6 linked regions of the Nothobranchius furzeri genome follow. The protein of the gene in region 1 purifies or fractionates together with the protein of each later gene. This does not show direct contact. Links are inferred from orthologs where the notes say so. Each region holds a gene or a part of one and is shown on either strand. Other genes may lie near its edges.

Region 1 (4,213 bases):
CAGATGGTTCAGAATGCCTGTGCTCGGCTTCTGACCAAGTCCTCCAAACACCACATCACCCTGCTTCTCCTCCAGCGTCACTGGCTGCCAGTCAACTTCAGGGTTCATTTCAAGATCCTGGTTCTGGTCTTTAGGGCCTTACATGGACAAGCACCATCACACATTGGTGATCTTCTCAGTCCCTACACCCCCAGCAGGTCCCTGAGGTCCAGCGACCAAAGCCTACTGGTTGTGCAGCACACCAGGCTAAAGACCAAAGGTGATAGATAATTTGCTGCTGTGGCCCCCAGACTCTGGAACTCTCTCCCCCTGAGCATGAGATCAGTGGACTCCTTTAAAAAGCAGCTGAAAGCCCACCTTTTCAAGCTGGCTTTTGTGTGACCTTTTTCACCACCCTTTCTTTATTTTGCTCTTTTTACTTATTCCACCATTATCTACTTTATCTTGATCTACTGATTTCCCTCTTCCCTATTCACTGTCTCTCTCCCTTTGCTTACATTATTTTTCTTTAATCACAAATGTAATATTTTTTCTCATTTTAAGCATATTATTAATAACTTTTTGATACTTTAATTGATTTTTTTGTTTGTTTGTTTATGTGAAGCACCCTATAGGTTACAATTGTAGGTCACTTTGGATAAAAGCGTCTGCCAAATAAATGAACATATATAGCAGAGGTGTGGACTCAAGTCACATGACTTATTTTAATGCCTTCTGACTTGACTTGATAAAATCTATAAAGACTTACGACTTGACTCGGACTTGAACGCCAATGACTTGCGACTTGAATCAACTTGCATCTGTTGACTTGATGATGACTTGAGCATATTTGATATTTTAGAACAAAAGTGGCACAACATGGACAAAAATCATAAATCATTCTTCGTTCTGGGTTTGATTTTGTACTGCTAATGCAGCAGCACTTTGTTTATAATCAATTTCAGTTGCACTTTCTGCTTGTTTGAGCAAATGTATTAAGCTTTCAGAAGCTTTATTTCTGGAATTTATTTATTATCATTGTCATTAAATTGAAGTTTGACAGATGACTTCATTATGACTTGAAAATTCAAAGATAAGGACTTGGACTTGATTTGGACTTTCACATTATTGACTTTGGTCTCGACTTGGACTTGTCTTTCACTTGAACTTGACTTGAGACTTGACTGGAAAGACATGTGACTTGCAAAGCAGTGACTTGGTCACACCTTTGATATATAGAGATAGAGACTGATAAATAGGGATATAGACAGCCTTAGGCTGGCTTGGTGCCAGATATTTCAAGTTTTTTTATGTATTTATTTAAAAAAATTATTTAATGTTTATTTTATTTTGTGATACTCAAGCGAGCTCGTGTCTTGATTGCGCAGTCTCTTGCAGTGATGCGCATTTTCGACGCAGGATGTCATTAAAGAAGCTCATCATTTGACCTACCTTCGTCACGAGCAGCTTGAACCAATCGCTGTGGTCGTTGCTGAAAGGTGTTCGGATTTAGCAGAGGTCCTCGTCAACATGGTGAGTGTAGCCGCTCTTAAGAAAAGTTCTGGAACAAAGATAATACCGTTTTAAGTTAGCGGTGGTTCGAATGAGATATATATTTTTTTCGTTATAAAATCCGCGTCTTTACTTTTGCTGCGAAGGAGAGCGATGTTTTGCTGTAGACCACGGGTTAGCGTATGTGTTAGCATTGAGTTTAGCCGCATATCATGTCATGGCGTAGTGTATCACCCGGAATAAAAGCTGCAGTGCAAAATCTAAAGTTCAAGCAACACTAGAGATGTTTTGACTTGTTAATGTGTCACTTCATTAGGCACTCTTAACGGTGTTTCTAGCGTGGGGTGTAAACAGGGGCCATTTATTAACTCGTTAAAGTTTTGCCGTTCACCTTTAACAATTTTCCCAGGATTTAGACGAAGCCTGCCAGTGTAGTAATTCTTAATCAAAACTAGCTGCTATCATTGTCAGGACTCCTAACCACCGTTGCAGAAACGGCTGTGTACGTTTAATAATTTAAGATAAGATCGGACTAATTCAATTTACTGTCCGTGTTTATGTCAGTTAACCACATTTAGTGGGAACATTGTTAATTGCAATCCAGTATTTTAGCTGTTCCCACATCTTTGGTGTTGATGGGAAATGTGATGACTCTGTTTTACTTTAAATTCGTGTGTTAGATCATATTTTAGCCATACATAAAATATTAACACATTTTAACAGCAGGGCCGGATGTACAAAATGAATAAAACTGCTGTCAGCAGTCAGAAATTGGATCAAATGAGTTGATGAAGAATAGAATTGACTTTATTAATCCCACATTGGGGAAATTCACTCGTTACAGCAGCGCATACATTGAAAAAAAAAACCAGGGAGAATGAAAAAATTAACAAAGGTACAGGTAAATACACACAGGCAGTGAGCATTTTTTTGTAACCTACCACTAAAAACAGCAACTAAAAAATTGGAACTTTTTTTTAACTATGGTGCAATATCAAAGTTTTAAAGCAGATATTCAAGCCTGTGCGGCAGTTTTTACATAAAGCATTGCAATGGCTGTGGAAAAAAACTGGCTCCCAGAAATGTCCCTGCTGCAACCGAGACCCTAATACTCACTGAAACTTGTTTCTAGTGGCCTCTGACCTTTCAGGCTTCTACATTACAAATTGTGCCATCCTGTCAAAAGTTTGGACTTTTTTTTTTAAAGTAAATGAATGATGCACACACTGCTAATGTTCTACTACATTTGTGGTGTTCTTATTACAGTCTTCATCAGAGAACAGTACTGGCTCGAGTCAGGCAGCGTCTTATCCAGTTGTACCCCCCGCAGCAATACCTCCCCCATATGTAAGTTATGAAAATGTTTACAACAACTGTTATTTATTTATTTATTATTTTCTGACATCTTGTAATGTAATTCCATGACTAGATGGGACCGCCGGGTATGCCTCACTACCCTGCCATGGGAATTCCTCCTATGGCCCAGCGACCACCCAGTATGACCCCATTGCCACCTGGTATAATGCCCCCTGGCATTATGCCACCTATGGCTGCACCACCAATGGGACAGGTAGACTTCTGTTTTTGTTAAAAAATATATTTGGCCTACATATTTGTGCATTTGTAGTTCTTTATCGTTTCTTTGTTCCAACCATTACATGTAAATCAGATTTAATCCATCCATCCATTGTCTGACCTGCTTTGTCCACGTTGGGCCGCGGGGGGGCTGGTGCCTATCTCCAGCGGTCAATGGGCAATCAGGTGGTGTAAACCCTGGACAGAGAGCCAGTCCACCGCAGGGCAACACAGAGACACACAGGACAAACAATCATGCACACACACACTCGCACCTAAGGACAATTTAGATAGACCAATTAACCTAACAGTCATGTTTTTGGACTGTGGGAGGAAGCCGGAGTGCCCGGAGAGAACCCACGCATGCACAGGGAGAACATGCAGACTATCAGATTCAATCAGAAAGTCAAAATATATCAACTCTTAAAATGGTCTGAATACAAAGTTAAGTAACTGGTTGACTAATTACTTCTACAATATTCTCATTCCCCTTTTTATTTTTAATTAAAACCAAATAAGCATTTTTTTTGCTCACTTTGGTAAGTGCATGTGATCATGATACACTGAAAATGTGATTTTTATTTTTATTTTGGGAAAAGGTGTCACCAGTTTGAGAAGTTGAGATGCAGTTTGGTGTCTCTAAGTATTCACACAGCTAAATAAGAGAAGCACTCAGCTCCAGTCCCACCTTTTTCCTCCAAGTTACAACGCAGACACCCGTTCTCACACTGTGTCTTAATACTTGGCACCTTCACTAGTTTGGTTTCAAATGTTGCAGATGAGTGTTTCACAACGCTTCTTTTATTAGATGGCAGGCATGATGCCGCCCATGATGCCGGGGATGATGATCCCACCTCGCATCCCAGCTGCATCTGTACAACCGACGGGGCCGGTAATTTTATCACCATTTTTTCTCCTCTTCTTCTTTTTTTTTTTTCCCTAAAGCAGGGTGTTTGATGCTTCACACGTCTTATAAATAACCTGCAGTCTGTTTGATGCTAACATTTACACGTATAAGTAACTCTTTTATATTTTTTATTTATATTTGTAAAGAAAAACAACCTAATCTGTGAATTTTCTTGTATCTGTCACTGGTAAATCACAAATAAATGTTTTTTTTTTCTCCACAGCCAGGTGTTGACTCCAC
Region 2 (4,250 bases), on another chromosome or scaffold:
CTTAATCTTTTCATTGTTAACTGTGTGAATGTAAAAGGTATTAAAACAGGTCAAGATGTTCTAACCATCAGTAAGCTGGCCAGTCATACCAGCCTTTTTCTTCAAAATGATCTTCAAGTCCCTGTTATTATTAAAGCTTTAAACAGGTTCTCGGATGCTTCTGGTCTCACAGTTAATAAGAGAAAATGTGAAATATTAGCCATACATGATTTAGACACCGTATCAATAGATGGCATAGAGGTTAAAAAAGAAGTTAAATATTTGGTTATCACATTAAGCAAATCCTCTAGTGAAAGAATTTCAAAAAACTTCAACCCTAAAATTGAGAAATCTAAATCTGTCTTTAATTGCTGGCTACAGAGGGATCTTACCATTATAGGTCGTGTTTTACTCTCCAAGGCTGAAGGATTATCCAGGTTAGTATACCCAGCTTTATTTTTATATGTTGATAGGAAAACCTGTGCAGCTATTGATTCACTCTTATTTAAGTTTATTTGGAAACATAAAAATGAATATGTAAAGAGGAAAACACTTATTAGACACATTTCAGAGGGGGGTCTTAATGTATTGGATTTCCAAACTATCAACAATATATTCAAAATTAATTGGTTAAAACATTGTCTTTCACATAATAATGAACCATGGTTTTTTATTCCCAATTTTTTTGGTTAACAAATGTGGCGGTTTAAAGTTCTTGCTTTCATGCAACTTTACCTCAGATAAACTGCCTATTGAACTGGCCAACTTTCACAAACAAGCCCTGGACACTTGGAAAATGGCTTTCAAACACAACTTTTCCCCTCACACATGTACTTTATGGAACAATCAACATATTGCTCACAAGAACAAGACTCTGTTTTACAAAGACTGGTATGATCAAGGTGTTATGTTTGTGTTTGATCTTTTGAATGATAACGGGACCTAGCTACCTATGATGAATTCATCCAACGAAAGGGGTTCAACACATCTCTCGCTATGCACTCTAGAATCCTCCAAAGCATTCCTGTTCATTTACTGTCTCTTGTCAGAGCTCCTGTTCAGTATACACCTTACACAGGAAGGATTCCTGCACTGTGTCTTGGTGGAAAGCTTCTTGAAGAGCACTCATGTAACAATGCTCACATTAGAGCCGTTTTCACCTCTCTATATAGTCAGGTTCCAAATTCATTACATCGTTGGAGGGTAATGTTTCCTGACATCAGTAGCAATGCCTTTTCTGAGGTTCAGAAATTTTTTGTCCCCAATAAAGTTAAAGAAATACACTTGAAAATCTTACATAGATATAATCCGTGTAATGAATTTATTAATAGATTTAGACCTGATGTGTCCCCTTTATGTTCCTTTTGCAAAACAGGTGTTGAGTCTCTTACTCATTTGTTTTATGGTTGTCCTTTAGTTGTACAGTTTTGGAATCAATTGTCTTCATTAGTTTGGGATTCTCATAAAATATTGATTACTTTTAATGAAAGTATGGTCTTATTCTTAAACGTTAAATGTAACAAGGAAGTTAACAATGTAATAAAATTGCTGTGTCTGTTGGGTAAATTTCACATTCATAAAGTCAGATTTCTACAGACTATACCAAATGTAACTTTATTTTATATTGTTCTTAATTTTTTTCATGAGACTGTACGTAGAATTAGTAAAAACAAGAAAGCTGTGAAAATATGCAACTTGATGAATTCTATTATGCCCCATATTACAAGGTAATGTATTAGTGGAATTTTGTTTTATTTTATGTTATTTTGTTTGTATATAATTATTTATGTTTACTTTCATTAACAGTGTTTTCTTTTTCTTCTCTGTTTGTCAATGTATCACACCCTGTACATCGATGTTGTTTTGTCAATATATTATGTCTTGTCTGCTGCAAATGTGTCAATAAAGATTGTTTAAAAAAAATTGCACCGTAGAAGAAGAAGCGCGCTGAATTGTCGCAGGATTCAGCGCAGCACCACCTGCGGTTGTTTGCTGCAGTTAGCGCCATGGCGGCAGTGCGCAGTTTACAGGTTAAATCAGACAGCGGTTCGGATCGCTCGGAACCGAACTCAGACTCCGAGTCAGATCGAGATGCCCGTGAGGCCGAACCAATGGAGGTGGAGGAGGGAGAGCTGGAGGCGGAGGACATCTCGGTTAACCGCTCTCTGAAGGAGCTGCTCCCGGTAAGTTTCCGACTAGGCCTCGATAGACCGGGGACTCGCGTGTGCCTCCCGCCGGCCGAGCAGCGGGAGGCGCCGGCGCTGAAGCAGCGGCTCTCCCCGGTTAGCAACCGCGGTTTCTGTCTCCGTTTAATGGCTTTGAAGTCAAAGGTTTCGTTAATGAAGAAAAATCACAATTTAAAATCTACTTGTTTGTAGTCCGAGAGATGAATAAAAGCCAGGAGTTTGTTTGTTTCTGTCAAGGGTAGATGACACAAACGTAAACAATACAAGGTGAGGGCTCCCCCCGGGAAAGCTCCTCAGGCTGATTCTGGATCTGCTGTTTTCAGGACACCAGCCGGAGGTACGAGAACAAGGCCGGAGCGTTCATCACCGGGATAGACGTGAACTCGAAGGTACCGGAACCGGACACACCTGAGCTGGAGAAACACTCCTGGATGTTTTAGTGCATCCTGCGAGCAGGTCTAACAAGCTGAGGCTTCTTCATGATTAGGAGCACATTCTGGGAAGGGCGAGCTTTCATCTGAGAACTAGTTGTTCGAGCTTCTCCTCCTGTGCCAGGTACAGCGGTGCTTCTCATGTGACACACAACAGCTTGCCATACCTCATGATGGATGGGAGCAAGGATCAGCAGTGACCACCGCTCAGATAAAACCACGTCATTTTAAACATTCCAGATGATGAAGGCTCAGACTAACAGATCTACGGCTTACTGGTTTGAGCAGGGTCGTCAGTCCACAACCCAATCCTCCTCTGACCGCTGGGTTAGGGTTAGGTTGCTCTAGATAATCGCCACCCATCTTCGAGTTGTCTGTTGGGAACGCCGTCTTCTCTGGAACAGCAGCTGGTAGTTCACTTATGCCCATGTAGCCTCAAGTACCCAGAATGCAATGCTGTGATGTCACGTACCACCTGTACTTCAGCGACAGCAGGTGCTGGTTTGTTGTTTCTTGTCTGTTCCTGTTGATTGTAAATGTTGCTCTCATAAAGGACAAGCTCAGGTCATTTTGTGAAATCTGAACATAATCAGGAAACACTTTTAGCTCATATTTGATCATTGTTAATGATTTCAGTTGTAAAAGTGATCTTCAAGTCTCGGGTATCTGATTGTAGGTTTTGTTTGTCAGGAAGCGTTTGAGAGGAAAGAGAAACGAGCAAGACGTTTCCACTTCCGCTGTGAGGAGAGCGTTGGTCAGAGGAACGTCTTCCTGGATAAAGATGCCATGAAGAAAGGTGTGAGCCGGTGTTCTGTTTCAAATCATTAACAGCAGTCTGCTTGGGTTTATGGAACTGTAGCTTTCTTCTTCTGTGGTGCTCAGCCATCTTTAAACTGCGGATGGAGGCGATCCATGTGAGTGGTGTGGACGACATGAGCACGCAGGATGTGTTCGGGTACTTCAGGGAGTATCCTCCAGCCCACATTGAGTGGATCAATGACACTTCCTGTGAGTAACGAACATGAGAGTAACAAAATGCGTTCTGCTCCAATCAGAGCAGAGGTCCAGGACAGCAGTGCTGCTCAGCAGCATCTCACCTGTCCTGTTGTCGCCTAGGTAACGTAGTTTGGCTGGATGATGACACCTGTATCAGAGCTCTCATCAACTCCAGCCAGATGCCCACACCAGAGGTTGTTGTCACGGAGACGGAGTCCAGCGAGCAGCCGGGCAAACGGAACAAAAGTGGGTCTGAGTCACGACTGAACTGAACATGTCATGAAGGTGTGGTGCATTATAGGTAATCTAATCTGTTTTAACATCACAGCTCGACGGGTTCGAGGGTCGGAAGAAGAGGATGATGATGATGATGATGAAGAGGAGGAGGAGGAGGGAGAGGTGGAAGAGGAGGTGAAGAAGAATGGTGATGAAGAAGTGGACCAGAACAGGAAGGTGGATGGTGGCCAGGTAGAGCGTTTACTGTGATGTCACAAAGTGACTCAGCAGTTTGTGTGTCACCAATGACTGACTCAGCGGTTTTTGTCAGGTGGACGACTTGTCAGCAGCTGAGAGGGAGTCGCTGCTGAGGAACGAGCTGAGACCTGCCATCAAACCGTTTAAAGGAAACAAACTGTTTCTGCGCTTTGCTACACAAGGT
Region 3 (3,353 bases), about 18 Mb from region 1:
AACTGTCAGTGATGTGCCGTCGTTAGGTGAAAACTACACTGCATTTGAATTTAAATCCGCCATCGCTATTGGCCAACAGGTTCACTATGACTTAAGCTGGTACATTATGATGTCACAATGTCGTGAGTCTGTTTGTATTTGTTAGCAGCTCCGCCCTCTCGGTCTGCCAGGCAACAGCATTTGTTGCATTTTTCAAACAGGAAGTGGGAGTGGGGTAAGACTCTGGTAGGGGGTGACTTGCTCTTTGAATCTAAAGCAGCGCTACATGTTTATACGAAAGCTAATCAAGTGCGACTATGAAGAATCCTTTAGCCCAGCAGCTTGCTGGAGAATCTGGGTCAGAAGATCTGCTGAGCAGCACTGAGCTGAGTGCAGGTTTGTCTCTGCTTTCCTCTTAATGACGTTAAATTTCCTACAGAAAGAGGGTCGGGACATGAAAGTCCTTCTAGAAGAAAGGAAGCATTAGAATGCTTGAATAAAGAAAAGCTTGCACAACAACGGTCTATACACAAACCTTTTATTTGGTTAAATAAAGCATTGATCCAATAAGAACAGGGATGGTGTGAAAAAAGGAGATGTGGGCGATACAGAGGTCTACAGGTGATCATTCACTCAAACAAACGGATGCAAATATTTAAAAGGGATTGTGATGATAGCTCTGCTTTTCTAAATCATCCGACATCAACTGCTTCTTACAGCAAACACAAAGTAAATAGTAAAAAATACATACAGACTCTACAGGCTCATTTATGCTCCCACGGAGAAGCTGGGTGTGAGCGACACACTGCCACTAAATGAAAATGGACTCGGAGGCGATAGAGAAACAATAAGAAGGGGAAATGATCTGTGTGTATTTACAGGACATACTCGAGCTCGTAGCGGACGTACACATTCTTCTCATCGTTGTAGACTTGTGGGTAATGAGCAATCAGGGCATCCTGAGAGCCGATGTAGATGGAGTTGTAAATCTTCCAGTAGACATCCCTCACCTTCCTGGCAGGGTGAAACAGGCCCTGTGCAGATCAAACAAAATGTAAATGTTGGGATTTCTCTGAGATGATTTGGAGGAAGAGTAGAATGTACAAAGTGTGCAGCTGTGTGTAGGCGGTGTGTCACAGGTTCAAAAATCACTTTACACATGTAAGCAGTTCATTTACCGAGCTTAAAGCTGCTATAGCGAATCTACATAACAAGCTAGGTTTCAAACGCAAACATGGTCACAGAACAGTCGTTCCTCCCTTGGTGAGATGCTTCTGCCAGAACTGGAAACCTGCGATTCCCGTGTGGTCAGAGGAAACGAGATGGTGCTAAACACCAGTCTAGGGCTGCAGTTACAGAATATTTCAGTATTGGAATATTGGTAACGCTTCCTTTTACAGTTCCCTAATTACTAAGTACATACATGGTAATTACATAGTAAGTAAAAGTGTATTATTGTTTCTGAGTTCTTAAACAGTTATTACCATGCAACTCAGACTTAATTCTAGTTTTTATTTTATTAATCTATCAAGTGACTACTGCTTTATACAATAACTACACCTTAGTACAATTATACGCTTTAATTACAAAATAACACACTTTAACTTACTGTGTAATTACCATGTAAGTACTTAGTAAGTAGGGGACTGTAAAAGGAAGTGTTACCACATTATTTTATCGAGCCCTCCATCGATTAATGGAATATTCTGTTTGACGACAGTTCAAGTGGAACGAGACAGTGGTCTGCTGCTAAGAATATGAAAATAAAACAACTAAGCTATAAAAGGCTCAATAATGTGTATTAAATTTGTGTTGTCTAGTTCCGTTTTTCCCCAGCTGATATTTATAATCTTCTTCTGCTTGTAGAGTTTAGTCATCCAAAACCAACGTGTTTTTCTGAACCCCACTTGATCACGATCATGCTACGCACTAGCTTAGCATTAGAAATTCTGCTCATAGTTCAACTCGATCCCAAACTTTGGGAGCGTTTCTGCCTTTGCTGATTATCCATTTCCCTCCACTGCACCTAGATTACCACATTGTACACTAGTAACATGTGTTCAGACTGTGGTGCGCACATTTAACGAAGCTTCGAATTAGTATAAAAAAAATAAATAAAAAAGAATTGAGGATTTCAATGAACTGAACCATTGAAAGATTCATGTAAGCCTATACCTGTCACCCTTTTCTAGGTCCAAATGCCTTTTGTTGTCCGTGACTTTAAATGGTGCTTTTTTCCTTTTTGGGACTCTGGTAGTTTGTCCTAAAGGTGAAGTGGTAGCAGCTGGCCGTTTCTCTTTCTCTGATATTAATGAGCGGAGAGCGTCTCACACCAGTGGTGTTCTGCTGCTAAATATGAGAGTGTGTGATGAGTGGAGGACCCAGGGAAGTGTGGCGGATTGGTGAGACCAACAACCAGATGGTCCAATAGTTGTTTTCAGTCTGAGCCGTGTTATTGGTGGAGGTTTTTAGACAAAAGACAGAACCGCTTTACCATTTTTAATGTCTACAATATATTTCTCGTTAAACTATGTTAGATCGTTGTTAAGAGACATGAATAAACCAACTTAAGTTTGAGTAAAGATTCTATGCATAGTTCTGTAACTGAAGCCCCTCCTCCTTACCTGTAAGCAGTACTGCAACATGCGGCAGGGTCCGATGGCGACTCTCAGCCCCTCCAGGGCACCCATGACAGCCTGGATGACATGAGGTGATGTCTCAAAGACGTTGGGCCACACGTAGTTTAGTAAATGGTTAAGAGAGTCCTCACAACCAAAACCGTAGACACCCAGAGACATGTGCTGAACCACAGCACTGGCGGTCTGTCTGTGGACCAGGTCCCTGCAGGGTGAAGAACAGAAACTGGTGAGATTGCAACTCCACAGTGAGGCCCTCAGCCGTCCCGGTTCTCTGATTAACTTTACATTCGTTTTCAGTGTTTCTATTAGCAACTACTTCTTTTCAGTAACATGAAACGTCACTGATCAGAATTCTAGAAAACAGATTTTGTTCCTCATACTTCTCAGAGTAACTTAAGTTCAAAGTAATGTCTAGTGTCTCAGAACAGAGCTGCTGCTGCGTGGCATTAAGCACTTCAGGATGAGGATCAGGCTCCAGCGCTGGATCAACCAGCTCCTAACCTTCAAACAATCATTAAGTTTTTCCCAGAACGCGGGGTCTTACCTGTCCATGAGAGCATCCTCCAGCAGTGGTGTGACAGCGTAGATGTAGTCTTTGCCCATTTCACCAATGTACTCAAACAGGAATGAGAGAGACTTGAGAACACCGTTTTGCACATTGAGCTCAGGCACTCTGTATTCATTCATCAACGCTGGCAGCACAGTGAAAGGAGAGCAGGTCTCTGCAACAATGGC
Region 4 (4,208 bases), on another chromosome or scaffold:
CAACACAACAACTCCCTCCCAATAGAGGCTGACGACTCATCAGGGGATGGAGAAGCGGGTACCCAGAGTAGTTTTGGCTCGTTAAATAACAATAGACAGCTTGACTCTCCCATATTCCAGTTAGAATTGACAAAGCTCCTCAGATGAGAAGCAAATTGTCTTCAAGAAACTAAAGAAGTCCAGTTGCCTTCATCTGAACCCTTTGGGTTACCATGACCTGGATGACTGAGAACCTTCATCAGCATATCTACACACACGTTTTACTTCATGATCTCAAGCACAAGTGAATGGGACATAAATGTAGGTTTTAGGGCTGTGCAGGTATTGAAACCAGATTTTAGGAAAAGTGAAGTTTTTTTAAATGAAATAATGTTTCTGCAAATAAAAATCTACTTTCAGCTCACACTTGATTCAGAAATGAACATGTATAATCAACATACCGTATGTAGCATCCAGTCACATGGCTGCAACAAAACCTCAGGTTAAATATTTTTTAATCATCCATTTAAATAGATAGATGTTTATGTATTTTGCAGACGCTTTAGTCCAAACTTTGGATTCCAAAGTGACTTACAAGTGATAATCAGCATGTTGCCCTTGAGGCTAACAACAACAGTAACAACAACAAACAATTTCCAGTCAGTTGGTGGCAGTGAGGCAGCATGATGAATCATGGAGAACAAGGAGTGGACAGTAGAGAGGGGATGGGTGCAGGGAGGGTGCTAGTTTAGAAGATGTTCTCTGAAGAGCAGGGTCTTCAGGAGTTTCTTGAAAATAGATGGACCATTAATGCCTCAGTTAAACATGGTTATTTGAAAGGTACAAATAATCAACTCCAGTAATCAGGAGACCAAATAATTAATCTTTTATAAAACAAGCATGAGGCTGTTTCACGCATGTGGATATGAGCTCACTTAATAAATCCTGGTTAAACCATGGTGAAATTACAGGCATGATGCATGATCATTTCACCTTTTTACTCCGGAATCCTTAAAAAAGAAATCCAAACGGTGAACGTTTCAAAACACAAACCAAGCCCCAAAACTTCCATTCTCAATGAAAACAGATTAATATGAATTTATTGATGCAGTCCGTCAATGGCTGTGATCTGTGTCTTCTTAAAGACAGCTGTTAACACTGTCCTAACGCGTAATGCGCTACAGCAACGCAACAGCTCAAACCGCATCTACATGTCAACATTGGACACATATCTACAGGAAAACAGATGCTAGCTGAGCTAGCTGTCAACAACATCTGTCATTAATGTACCTCTCTCTCTCTGTCAACAACAGCGAAGCCCCACCACCGTTTCAAACTTGACAAACTCATTTCATATCCAAAAGCGCGTCCGTCTGTGTTTCTACAGAGATGTCGGAAATGCAAGCTGATATTTCACCGTCAACGTCGTAAAATAAACAAATGAGTTGTAAGTGGCGCTCAAGCAGGAACGCAACTTCCGCTGGCGTCATCAACCGTCGACAAGCGAACAGGCCGCAAGTGGTGGAAGCAGAGCTACATCGTCCATAAAAAATGTAGGTTTGAGCTCTTTCCTGGCTTAAAACTGTCCGTTTTTAGTTGTGATGCTTAGTTAATCAACTCTGAAAACCCAGGCGTGTTTTACCGTCGTGTGCTTGTTGCGTGAAGAGCTGAGTGATCGGTTAACGGCATGGTCGGAGCTCTCCTTGTTTAGAGGCAGCGGGCTGAATGAAACTCGTTGGCGGCGGATTTCTGCCTGAGTGCTGCTTTTTCCTATAATAACATAACAAATGTTTACGATTTCCAGCAGACATTTGGTGCTCCCTAAACTATGTGTGATGTGGATTGTTTTTATTTATTTCAGTTATAAATCATGTATATCGTGTTTAGTCTCTTTCAGCTAGCTTACGGCTTGAATTTTTGGTGCCAGATAAGTTGTGTAATATTAGGAGAAAAACGTTATTAGTTTTTTTTATCAGTTGCTTTTACATTAAGGGATTTATTTTAAAATTGAGACATCAGTGTAGTTTTGATAAATGTTCAAGAAAATAAAATTATAAAAATCTTTGTTGCACAAAAGGAAATAAACCTACTGGGGTTTAATTATTCTAAACAAAGAGACAGAAGTTTATTGACTAGTCTGTTGTTTTAACAGCTGGAATAACAACTTAGCGTTCTGTGGTAATTCCACAGTAATGGTAGTGCATCACACTAAAGAAATATTCCTTAGCATTAAAGATTAAACACAACAGTTAAAATGTTGCTTTGTGTTTCATTTTAACTGACAGAAAACACAAAATACACTTTTTGGGTTTCATTTTCAGCTTGTTGAGATTACAGATTAGACCCAGATTTGAATTCTGCATGAATTTGAACATTCCCACAATTTGTAGCTCTTAGATTTGTTAAATCCATTTGTGTAAAACAACTAAACTAACAGATGTTTACATCACTTTAGGGCACCATCTCCTACGAAAAGGAAGGAGGAAGAAAAATCTAAAGATAGGGGCAAAGAGAAGACTGCCACCAAGGAAGGAGACAAAGAGAGAGGACGGGACAAAGTAAGGAAACGTCGTAGTGCCTCTTCTGGAAGCAGCAGCAGCAGCAGGTCTGAGTTCCTTCTCATTTGTTATATCACTAGAGAAATCTGTGCTAAAAATTCCTAACAAACCATTTCATTTGTTCTGATTGTGACCGGATCCAGATCTAGCTCATCATCCAGCAGCAGCTCTGGTTCTAGCTCAGGTTCCTCGAGTGGATCCAGCTCTTCTGGCACCAGTCGATCTGGATCGTCCAGCTCTCGATCGTCATCCTCCTCCAGCTCCTCTGGCTCGCCGAGCCCCAGCCGCAGGCGCCATGACAACCGCCGGCGCTCCCGATCACCGTAAGTCTTTGTTCGTGTCTCAGTGTTTACGATGACTTTTGGTTTCTAGTTATTTATTTACTGCTTTCTGATTTTTCAGGTCTAAAACACAGAAGAGAGGAGAGGACAAAGAGCGAAGGAAACGAAGCCCGATTGTCAAACCCACTAAGGTTCACTTAGGAAGGCTGACCAGAAACGTTACCAAGGTTAGCTTAAATGAAGAACATCTGCTTTCTCTTTCTCATCATGTCTGCTTTTATTTGAGACTATGATGCAATCTCAAGGTTATGTAAGTGCACAAGAACAGCCACGCACATCCTTAATGTGTAGTAATTAAAGATAAAATCTGAGAAGATTTTCTTGTGTGCATCGGGTGTGTTAGTCATCAGCAATGCTCTGCTCAAAACAAAAAGGAGAAAATAAAGAGTTTGTTTTATTTGTTTGGCATCAAGATAATTTTGTGTCAAAGTTGAGAGAATATCTGACCTTTCTATTTCTGTTGTACCAGGATCACATCCAGGAGATCTTTTCCACTTATGGAAAAATCAAAATGATTGACATGCAGATGGATAGGATGCACCCACACCTGAGCAAGGGCCATGCTTATGTGGAGTTTGAGACCCCTGAGGAGGCACAGAAGGCCCTTAAACACATGGACGGAGGTTGGTGTGCATGTTCAATTTAACAGCCTCTGGGTCTCAGGAACACTGGGGGTCTTTTCTGTGTGTTGATTATTTTTTATGACTATTATAAAAACAGGTCAGATTGACGGACAGGAAATCACAGCCGCTGCTGTTCTGCCTCAACGGATCCGTCTACCACCTCGCAGACTGTCTCCTCCTCGCAGAATGCCCCCACCACCTCCTATGTGGCGGCGCAGCCCACCACGCATGAGGAGGAGGTATCGCCTACAGACAGTTTCAGCCATAAACACACACACGTGTACAGGTAATAATGCCGTTTTTGTTGTTTCAGGTCTCGTTCTCCAAGGAGACGATCCCCGGCACGTCGCCGTTCCCGCTCCAGGTCTCCTGGTCGCCGGCGCCATCGCTCTCGCTCCAGCTCCAACTCCTCCAGATAAACTCATTCAGATGTCATGTGGTTTTCTACGCTGTGATGCTGATCAGCTACAACCCTCGTTTTCTCAGACTCCTTTGACTCAGTAGAAATGCCATCATCTACGCTGTATGTGTGGTCATAGCAAGAGTGCTTCTGTTCCATTTGATTTTTTCTTAAATTTTGTGCTAAGTTGATTCAGAAAAGTTAGCTTAGTTTTATGTTGCCTCTACCGGGATCTACAAACATTTTGTTTCCTTTTACCTTGTATTACGTCCTTTTAACTTTTAAAAAATAAAGATGCAGAAACAGA
Region 5 (4,234 bases), on another chromosome or scaffold:
TTGGTAGGTCACAAACCTGCTTGGCGTGAGTACATTCGTTTGCTGAGCTTAAGTACGGTTTTAGTAAGGATTCTACGCCATGTTTTATAAATGAGAGAGGGGCCTCATTTATCAAGCTTGCTTACTCACAAAACGGGGTCGGAAAACTGCGTGAGCAACTTTCCACGCAAACTTTGGGACTTATGAAAGAAAACCTGGCGGAAAAATGTGCGCAACGTTAAGGTAAGGTACCTACCTACTGCTCCAGATTGGTGTTTGGTGGGGTGTAAAATTGTGGTTGTACATGAGTTTCCTGCGTAGAAGAGCTTGTTTAAGAATGGGCGTCAACTTCATTGGCAGTTTTTTCTATTTTAAAATCACATGTAAGGACAAACTCAATTCCTCCAATCATATCAAACACTGGAGACAAAAGCTGATACCGATAGCGTTAGCTTGTTTTTTCTGCCATGTGCTCATTTTAGCCTAATTACAATGTTGCAGTTTCACTACTAATAATGTTATTCTCTCTAATAAAATAAAACAAAACATAAAATGCATTTGCAATTTGCTGTAATTATGCGCAAATACCCTTTGCTGAATTTGTGTGCTTTCCGTGGTGAATCCATTCACTGAATATTTTCAATCGGTAAACTTTTCAAAATGACCAGTCAGAAAACTTGTATTTTTAATTGAGATACCGCAACTGGAACAGGAAATAGCGCCGCCTTCAGTTCCGGAAAGCAATGGCACCTTTATGGGGAGAAAAAAAAGTTTCAAAAGATCTGTGAGTGTGTATCTAAATTTGTGTGTGTAACTCTTGATTTGTAACTTGTGTTTACATTTTTGTGTGTAACTTCAGTTCTTACACATACAAATCATTGAATACACACACACAAATCACCTGGTAATCACGGACAAAACTACATTACACACAGATCAGTTCCTAAGTCCAAAAATACTTTTAAGACTCTTTTCACACCTGACCATGCACCTGACTGATTTGTGCGCACATGGTGTGTTTGAATGCTGGATGGAAGCTGGGAAATTTGAATTCCTTTGGGTTTAGTCTAAACTTGTGTTGACGGGACAAATATGGTTTTCTGTGGAAAAATAGAGTATCTCAGGATCCTGTAGTTATACGAGATAAACCTACATTTAAATTTAAATTTTCTAAAATTGTTTATTTAGACATGTGTTTGTGAGCCATGAGAACATAGTGAAAGGGTTATAACAAATGACTAATAAATGGCAGAGTGGTTCTCTGACTGGAAAAAAGCACGGTTCAAAAGGAGAGAAGGCACGAGATGTCTCCTTTTGAACCTTTTCCATATATGGTCGTACCCTGTGCCCACTCCCCGCCCCGTGCTACAAGCTGCAGCGTAGACCTCCTTCTCTGTGAGCTTGGCGGTGTTCTCGACTTTACGGCAGTCTTTGTGGTTTACGACAAAACCGCCATTTTGTGTTGTTGAGAGACGGCTAACTAAGACATTTACACGAGACACGTTGGAGCTTTGAACCTTTAAAATTAAACCGCTGCTCGGACCCTTTAGAAGCACATCTTGCTTTGGAGAACTGCCCACTCGGCATCACCTCAGGTCCATGGTTTGATTTCGGTCGAACACCGGAGGAGAGAAGAAGGTAAGACGTAGCGAAGCTCGTGTTAGCATTGTTAGCTTAGGCTAAGACGAAGCGCTTCATAAAGTAAACGAAGAAAGGCAACAGTGCAAGTGAGAACGGACGTTTTTATAACTACAGCTCTACTATCAGTAGTTTTCATCATCGGGTCTAAGTTAGTTATGAGCGGATTTAACCAGGTGAAGATGAACCACAGTCATCAGAGTGTCGCTAGCTGAGTACCCGCCGCCCCTGCTCTGCGGTCGGATTGTGTAACAATCACACTCTGTCGTGTTTCAGTGAAAGATGACACAGTTTCTACCGCCGAACTTGCTGGCCCTGTTCGCACCACGGGACCCGATACCCTTCCTGCCGCAGCTGGAGAAGTTGCCCCATGAGAAGCATCACAACCAACCGTACTGCGGCATCGCTCCGTTCATCCGACACTTTGAGGTGAAACGCGCTCTAGTCGGTTTTCCTCTTCCTACGCTCGTCTCTGATGTGCCTCCTAAATGTTTGTGTTCTGGGATCAGGACCCAAGAGATGCCCCCCCACCGACCAGAGCAGAGACCCGGGAGGAGCGCCTGGAGAGGAAGGTGAGACCATCACTAGATTAGTGCAGGTATAATTAAAAGAGCAAATTGCAGGTAAAATTTGTTTTCTAATTCATGTAAAATGCTGTCCAAAAATACTAGCCGAAATGCTTATTGTGGATATTTCGTTTATGAACACACAACGGCACAGTTTTAGGAGTAAAAAGTGACTTTTCTCAGCAGAGCTTCTAAAAACGCTCCTTTTTTACCTGTCACGTAACTAAAGCCTCAGCTCAGTGGAGCAGGGTCCAGCCAGCCGCGGGCGTTTCTACTTGGGCTACAGAAAAACGCCTTTATGGGGGTTACTGTAGCTTCTCACCAACCAATCGGAATGGGCATCAAAATACGTAATTTCCCCTGTTAGACGTGTCAAAATAAAAGTCTAAACTAATTGATCGTGTGGCACCGCCACGGCAAAATAAAAGTCCCCACACCTCTCCTAATGTCTGAAAGAAGCTCCTTTACAAAGGGAGAAACGCTCCCGGTGACTTTCTACATCTGCGACAGAGACGGAGCAGCGCATTTGACCCCGGAAGTTGTTGTCCGTTGCCGGGAGACTAAGGCGGGCAAAACAGGAAAGGAATCTAGTAGCGGACGGACATTGTTCCTGGTCTTCGGTATTTGGGGGATGCTAGTGAAGGCGGAGAAGAGGGTGAACTAAAGGAAAAACAGGCAGATTCCTCCTCTCTTGACAAACTCCTGGGGATGCAACAAGTGGGCGCGGTGCGTCGACTACCGGATCTGACGTCGGCGAATTTTTAGAATCGAGCCGTCGACGCTTCGCTACAGCTCTAGTAATTACCCAACTTGTTCTTTCTGTATCTGATCTTTATTCGGGTTACTGTTGGCCCACACCTTAACTCCAGGAAAATCAACGTTAACAATCTCTTCTCTTTCTAAACAACCAAACCGAAACTCTCCACACAATCGGCAGAGAACACCCCCTCCAACACAAAAGTCCAACCATAACAAATCGTAACCCGTTGGTACAACAATGCAAAGCCAGAGAACAGATAGATGAGCAGAGAAAATCTCTTATTTTGGAATATCTGAGGTGAAGTAACATTTCAGGAGCGAATACGACGAAGTGGGTGTTCCTGTTTTGTAGGGATGTTCTCGTTTACAAACCACAATGCCCCTTTTAGCAGCTGGCCCGATGATGTTGGCTCAGTGTGTGTTTACTATGGTTGGTTGTGTTCATGTTGATAAACTAGAGTGTGTGAGAGTAGAGCTGCACCAACTCCAGCCTGTCTGGACATCGATTCCCCGGGTTTCCAGATAAGAGACACAACGCCTCTATCTTCGTGCCTGAGGGCGTTTCTGTAGCCCGCACCGGTCGGTACCGAGTCAGGGAAGTCCACGCTGGGCTCCGGAGACCCGTGGCGAGATTTTAAAAAAATTAAATGCAAGTTTTTGGAAGTCAGTTCTTCGTCAGAACCGATCACCAGAAGCGACGCGTGGCTGAGTCGAGCTGCCAAGCGTTAGCAGCGCGCTGCCGGTTACCGGCGGTTCTTACGGCTCGTTTTCTTTCACTCACCTAAGTTTTATTTCATGTTTTACTTTTTAATTCACACTGAAAACACAGCTGTAGGGGTTTGAAACGCTAGAGAGAAGCTTCTCCTTTTACTCAGACGTAAATACTCCCAGTGTTTTGGATTGGGGTCCTTCACCGGCTTCCAGCAGCAGCGGGCTGCCCGCGGAGGTGCCTGGCTTTAAATCGGCTCTACTAAAGAGACTTATCGGCCGATGATGAAAAAATGCAAAATATCGGCCTGATAAATCGGTCGACGCCTAGTTAGCACACAAGTTTAACCGTTAACTCACAAGACATGGGAATTGCTTTGCAACACTCCCAGGAGACGGAAAAGTCAGAGAGCGAAACGTCTCTTTCCGTGCGTTCGCGTCTCCCACCTGGAGCTGGCGCACAAGTATAACTTGTTACCTGAAACAACTGAGATATAACTGTCACTGAAACACACACGGTAATAGTTATTTAGGTTCATTAACCTGGGCTTTTTCAGATGTCTTCTGTCAACGTGCAAACACAG
Region 6 (3,956 bases), on another chromosome or scaffold:
TGAATTATATGCTACAACGGCTTGCCACAGTCCTGCGGGGATGGAGAAGACTCGGTAGCTGCTGCGGCGCTGCCCCACACCGCTGCAGAGGTCCACAAATAAAAGGGATGATGGGGATTTTTCTTCTGCTTTTAGAGTTAAGGCGTTCACAACCATCACGTTTTTTTCTGAACCACACTTGCTCGTGAGAATGCTACCCGCTAGCTTAGCATTAGAAATTCTGCTCGTAGTTTAACTCCTGATCCCAAACTTTGGACCGCCTCTGCTTTTTACAACGGTTTCTGTCTTTGCTGGTTTCTCCATTTTCCTCCACAGCACCTAGATCACCACATGGTGCTCAAGTAAAATGTGTTCAGACTGTGTTGCGCACATTTAACGAAGCTTCGAATCAGTACAAAATGAATTGAGGAATTAAATGAGTCGAACATTTCGAATCATTCGATGATTCTTTCAGCCCTACATGCAATTTCACATTTCTGGTGTACACTGTAGTTCTCAAATTTCCCTGTAAACAAATCTCTCCCGAAATATTTGAAATGTGTCTCTTTTCAAAGCAGAAAGAGAAATCAGCATAAGCAAGTAGGAATTGGTAACTTTGGTTGTTTTGCAACAGCCAAGCATCTCTGAATATTTGTATCATAACCGTTGAAAAACATAACATCTCTTTTAGCGATGCACCGATATAAAACTTTTGGGCTGATACCGATTTCCGATATTAATATCACTGTTATAGCCGATAACCGTTATTTGCCGATACAGATATACTGACATTTATGCTTCAAAATCAGCAGACTTGTATAGAATGAAAATTATTAATGCTGAATTTACGTTATGTACACACAACTAGGGATGGGTACCTTTGACATTTGAATCGATCCGGTACTAATTCCCGGTACCTACGAGTCGATACCGGTACTTAACGGTACCAATTTTCGATACTTTTGAGTGTTTATTATTTTAATTCTCTTTTATAATTAAATATATATTTTTCTCAATATATAACCATATTTGATAAATATCACGATAAATAACATACAAGTTTGTATTTTAACATTGTCCTTGTAGTTTTATAAGCTGATAGTTAAACTGAAGCAAACATCTTTACTGTGAACTAAATTTACTGTGTACTGTTGTGTGACACAACACACCATTTACGGTTCTGAGATGATTACATTCACTGTTCACATGACTAAACAATAACACATCACCCCCTCACCCTCTGAAACAGGCAAACAAATGGAGACGGGATGGAAAAAATATTGGTTGTCAATATCGGCCCGGTTTTATTTATCGAACCGATGTTAAAAAATGACTACCATCGGCCGATACCGATATTGATGCTGATATATTGTCCATCCCTAATTTCTTTGTTATTCACAAATGTGTGGTTTTTATTTGTTTAGTAAGAAGTTGCATTTCACACCTCTGGACCACATTGTTTTGTTTTCTTTAAGTGATCGCGAAAGTTAGCAATGAGAGTAAGCTACTGAAAGTTGCTGTGCAGAACTGTAAATCACCTTGAAGTTTGCCAGAGGCTCCTTGGACTCTCTTCCAGCTCAAAACAATACCACATTTCTGTAAACGTAGGACAATTACTAAAATAACATAATAAACACACACACACCATTAACAGTTAACAAAAATTATGCAAGCAGCATTTCTATATATGGATATTCAAAAGGTATGTGTAGTTTACACATATTTTCTAATTCTTACCGCCAGCAACTGTCTGATGAGCATGTCTGAAGCTTTCTCTGAAATGTTCCCCACAAACACGGTGGTGATAGGTCCACTGCTCTCTTCATCTTTGGCTCGCAGAGCAGAATAGTCTTTCTTTGGCATGGGAGGCTTACTGAGGACTGGAACAGACTGGACCATGACTGCAGGGGTGGGGGCCATGATGCCCATGTGGACAGGGATCATAGGAGCTGCAGCACATGCAACAAAAAAAAGTTGTTAAGACTGTGAATATGAAATTAATTAAATTATTACAAATAATGAGCATCTAAGAGGTGTCATGTTGCGTAATTTACGGGAGCCTGGTTGGTACTTACCTGTGGGGAAGCCAGCATACTGAGGAGGAATCCCAGGTGGGGGCAACAGCGGTCGATTTAAATGAGGAGGGAAGGACATTTTGAGGGTGAATGTGGCCTAAAGAAGACACATTAAAGGCCATTAGTGTTGTTTGCATAAGGTAAAAACGTCCAAACAGCTCAAGTAAAAACACAGAGGGAGCGAACATTAGTGTATCCACAATGAGGAAACACTGAAGGTCTCGGTGGTGAACATTACAAATCGATAGTGACTTTTATTTGACTTTGCTGGAACGTTAACTAAACTTAGCCAAACTTTGTGAGGTGCCATTCGCTAATTAGAAGTAACAAAGTCCAAACTTCTTAAAAATATTAACATCTCAACAATATTAAGACTAACCACACACAACAGCTAAGTACGCTAAAGCTAGCAATGAGCACGTTACCCGATATAACACCGGCACAGCTAAAATGCTAAAGTAACCTAGCCCGAGCAGATGTTAATTTATAATAAAACACTGACTTTCCCAAGGCTAAACATGAGCTCGAAGTAAATATAAAAGCCTCTACATATACCTACCACTCAACCAGGTGGCGTATGATGAGATAAAATCCACTAAAAATGTTAATGATAGTGAATTAATAGCTAACGTTCTGGACGCCTGATTAGCACGCTAGCTGGTCGCGGGCCCTCGAAAAGTTTGACGCACGCGCTTTAGGAGCAAGAGTACTGGCGCGCTTGTTTTGTGCACCAGAGTGTATACACTGAACGGGGCTTAATGTGAATTCGCAAAATGAACCCTTTTCAGGAAACGAAACTTCTGCTAACAGGGTTCGATCAGATTACCTAACTAACCTTGGAAGACCTAATGCGCGGTAGTAACTAAATGAATAAAAAAGGTTGAATAATAATAGCATTGAAATTAAGTTACACCAAAAAAGCGGTCCGCATTTTTTTTATTAAAACGATTTGTTTCTAATCGGTTTAATTTACAAAACATCTGATCACATAAAAAAACAGCATTGTGATTTTCCTACTCGTTTTAATCAATTAGAGGATAAAGCCATCATATGATTATTTCAATGTTAAACTTCTTTTTAAATGTTTTTTAAAAGAGTACATAAAAATTCTGTGTACATTATTGTTAAAATGGTCATTCTTACCAATTCTGAAATTGTAACTAATAAATAACATATTCTGTATGCAAAGTATGACTGTACTTCTGTTATTTATCACTGAGGTTACTATCTAAATTTATAAATGTGTCTTCTGTAGTTAAACTACATAATAGAAAGCTGAATCATAATCATTTGTGCATCTCTTGCATTTGATGGGTCTAACTGCGTACATTTATTCCACTCTAATCCACTTGACAACAGTGACTTCTTCCCCTTACACTGTACTAAAAACTCAATTCCAAAGTCGTGATCAACATGACAAATATAGTATTACATTTATGTATAGCAGTCCATCTTCCACTGGTGTTCTATGTCCATAAGAAAATCTGTAATTCATATAATAACAACCATTAGTTCATTTGACAATATAAAGCATATATTCTCATGATTCAGTACGGAAAAGGGTTGAGTTGATGGTTGTTAAGGCGTTTTTGCTGTAGGAACATTTTGTGACAGATGATACGTCGGGAGAGGAAAGGGGGAGATCTGTGACGTCACTTTAAGGCGGGGCTTTCATGGAAAGTGCTAGAAGCAGGCTAGAAGAAACGAAGCACACCTTCTCGTGTTTGAAATATTCATCCGTCGGAGTAAAAAGACCCACAGTCTATGTCGAATTTCAGGGAAACTAGACGCCACTTGAGATTTGAACTTGACGCGTGGTTTTAGTGTTATGCGAATCATTTCTCTATGTTGTCGCTAGATGGGATGATTGAGATCAAAAAACATCGCCTCTCAGTGCATGGT

Evidence for each region.
Region 2: the proteins of prpf40a (region 1) and ncbp3 purify together in Homo sapiens (affinity purification with mass spectrometry; 3 studies listed by BioGRID and IntAct, counting the BioPlex papers as one, with this or other methods). This does not show direct contact. The link is inferred for Nothobranchius furzeri from reciprocal best matches to the Homo sapiens genes PRPF40A and NCBP3.
Region 3: the proteins of prpf40a (region 1) and sf3b1 purify together in Homo sapiens (co-immunoprecipitation; 3 studies listed by BioGRID and IntAct, with this or other methods). This does not show direct contact. The link is inferred for Nothobranchius furzeri from reciprocal best matches to the Homo sapiens genes PRPF40A and SF3B1.
Region 4: the proteins of prpf40a (region 1) and RNA-binding protein with serine-rich domain 1 purify together in Homo sapiens (affinity purification with mass spectrometry; 4 studies listed by BioGRID and IntAct, counting the BioPlex papers as one, with this or other methods). This does not show direct contact. The link is inferred for Nothobranchius furzeri from reciprocal best matches to the Homo sapiens genes PRPF40A and RNPS1.
Region 5: the proteins of prpf40a (region 1) and snrnp70 fractionate together in Homo sapiens (co-fractionation; 3 studies listed by BioGRID, with this or other methods). This does not show direct contact. The link is inferred for Nothobranchius furzeri from reciprocal best matches to the Homo sapiens genes PRPF40A and SNRNP70.
Region 6: the proteins of prpf40a (region 1) and rbm25b purify together in Homo sapiens (affinity purification with mass spectrometry; 5 studies listed by BioGRID and IntAct, with this or other methods). This does not show direct contact. The link is inferred for Nothobranchius furzeri from reciprocal best matches to the Homo sapiens genes PRPF40A and RBM25.

The regions. Positions count from the first base shown.
Region 1 is NC_091754.1:18,353,379-18,357,591, reverse strand, and holds the start of prpf40a (pre-mRNA-processing factor 40 homolog A), read left to right. Parts: upstream 1-1,413; 5' UTR 1,414-1,509; coding exon 1,510-1,512; intron 1,513-2,757; coding exon 2,758-2,838; intron 2,839-2,920; coding exon 2,921-3,061; intron 3,062-3,874; coding exon 3,875-3,958; intron 3,959-4,196; coding exon 4,197-4,213.
Region 2 is NC_091750.1:26,050,512-26,054,761, reverse strand, and holds the start of ncbp3 (nuclear cap-binding protein subunit 3), read left to right. Parts: upstream 1-1,450; 5' UTR 1,451-1,985; coding exon 1,986-2,162; intron 2,163-2,488; coding exon 2,489-2,554; intron 2,555-3,286; coding exon 3,287-3,392; intron 3,393-3,478; coding exon 3,479-3,604; intron 3,605-3,712; coding exon 3,713-3,838; intron 3,839-3,920; coding exon 3,921-4,060; intron 4,061-4,139; coding exon 4,140-4,248; intron 4,249-4,250. UniProt on the Homo sapiens protein: Associates with NCBP1/CBP80 to form an alternative cap-binding complex (CBC) which plays a key role in mRNA export. NCBP3 serves as adapter protein linking the capped RNAs (m7GpppG-capped RNA) to NCBP1/CBP80.
Region 3 is NC_091754.1:36,030,132-36,033,484, forward strand, and holds the end of sf3b1 (splicing factor 3B subunit 1), read right to left. Parts: coding exon 3,163-3,353; intron 2,821-3,162; coding exon 2,604-2,820; intron 1,014-2,603; coding exon 855-1,013; 3' UTR 501-854; downstream 1-500. UniProt on the Homo sapiens protein: Component of the 17S U2 SnRNP complex of the spliceosome, a large ribonucleoprotein complex that removes introns from transcribed pre-mRNAs.
Region 4 is NC_091752.1:58,150,434-58,154,641, forward strand, and holds the start of RNA-binding protein with serine-rich domain 1, read left to right. Parts: upstream 1-1,408; 5' UTR 1,409-1,530; coding exon 1,531-1,532; intron 1,533-2,434; coding exon 2,435-2,584; intron 2,585-2,680; coding exon 2,681-2,860; intron 2,861-2,939; coding exon 2,940-3,045; intron 3,046-3,347; coding exon 3,348-3,501; intron 3,502-3,598; coding exon 3,599-3,740; intron 3,741-3,814; coding exon 3,815-3,920; 3' UTR 3,921-4,208. UniProt on the Homo sapiens protein: Part of pre- and post-splicing multiprotein mRNP complexes. Auxiliary component of the splicing-dependent multiprotein exon junction complex (EJC) deposited at splice junction on mRNAs.
Region 5 is NC_091758.1:13,866,500-13,870,733, forward strand, and holds the start of snrnp70 (U1 small nuclear ribonucleoprotein 70 kDa), read left to right. Parts: upstream 1-1,434; 5' UTR 1,435-1,617; intron 1,618-1,893; 5' UTR 1,894-1,899; coding exon 1,900-2,046; intron 2,047-2,126; coding exon 2,127-2,189; intron 2,190-4,234. UniProt on the Homo sapiens protein: Component of the spliceosomal U1 snRNP, which is essential for recognition of the pre-mRNA 5' splice-site and the subsequent assembly of the spliceosome. SNRNP70 binds to the loop I region of U1-snRNA.
Region 6 is NC_091742.1:8,418,762-8,422,717, reverse strand, and holds the start of rbm25b (RNA-binding protein 25b), read right to left. Parts: upstream 2,801-3,956; 5' UTR 2,614-2,800; intron 2,152-2,613; 5' UTR 2,134-2,151; coding exon 2,055-2,133; intron 1,929-2,054; coding exon 1,717-1,928; intron 1,576-1,716; coding exon 1,518-1,575; intron 1-1,517. UniProt on the Homo sapiens protein: RNA-binding protein that acts as a regulator of alternative pre-mRNA splicing. Involved in apoptotic cell death through the regulation of the apoptotic factor BCL2L1 isoform expression.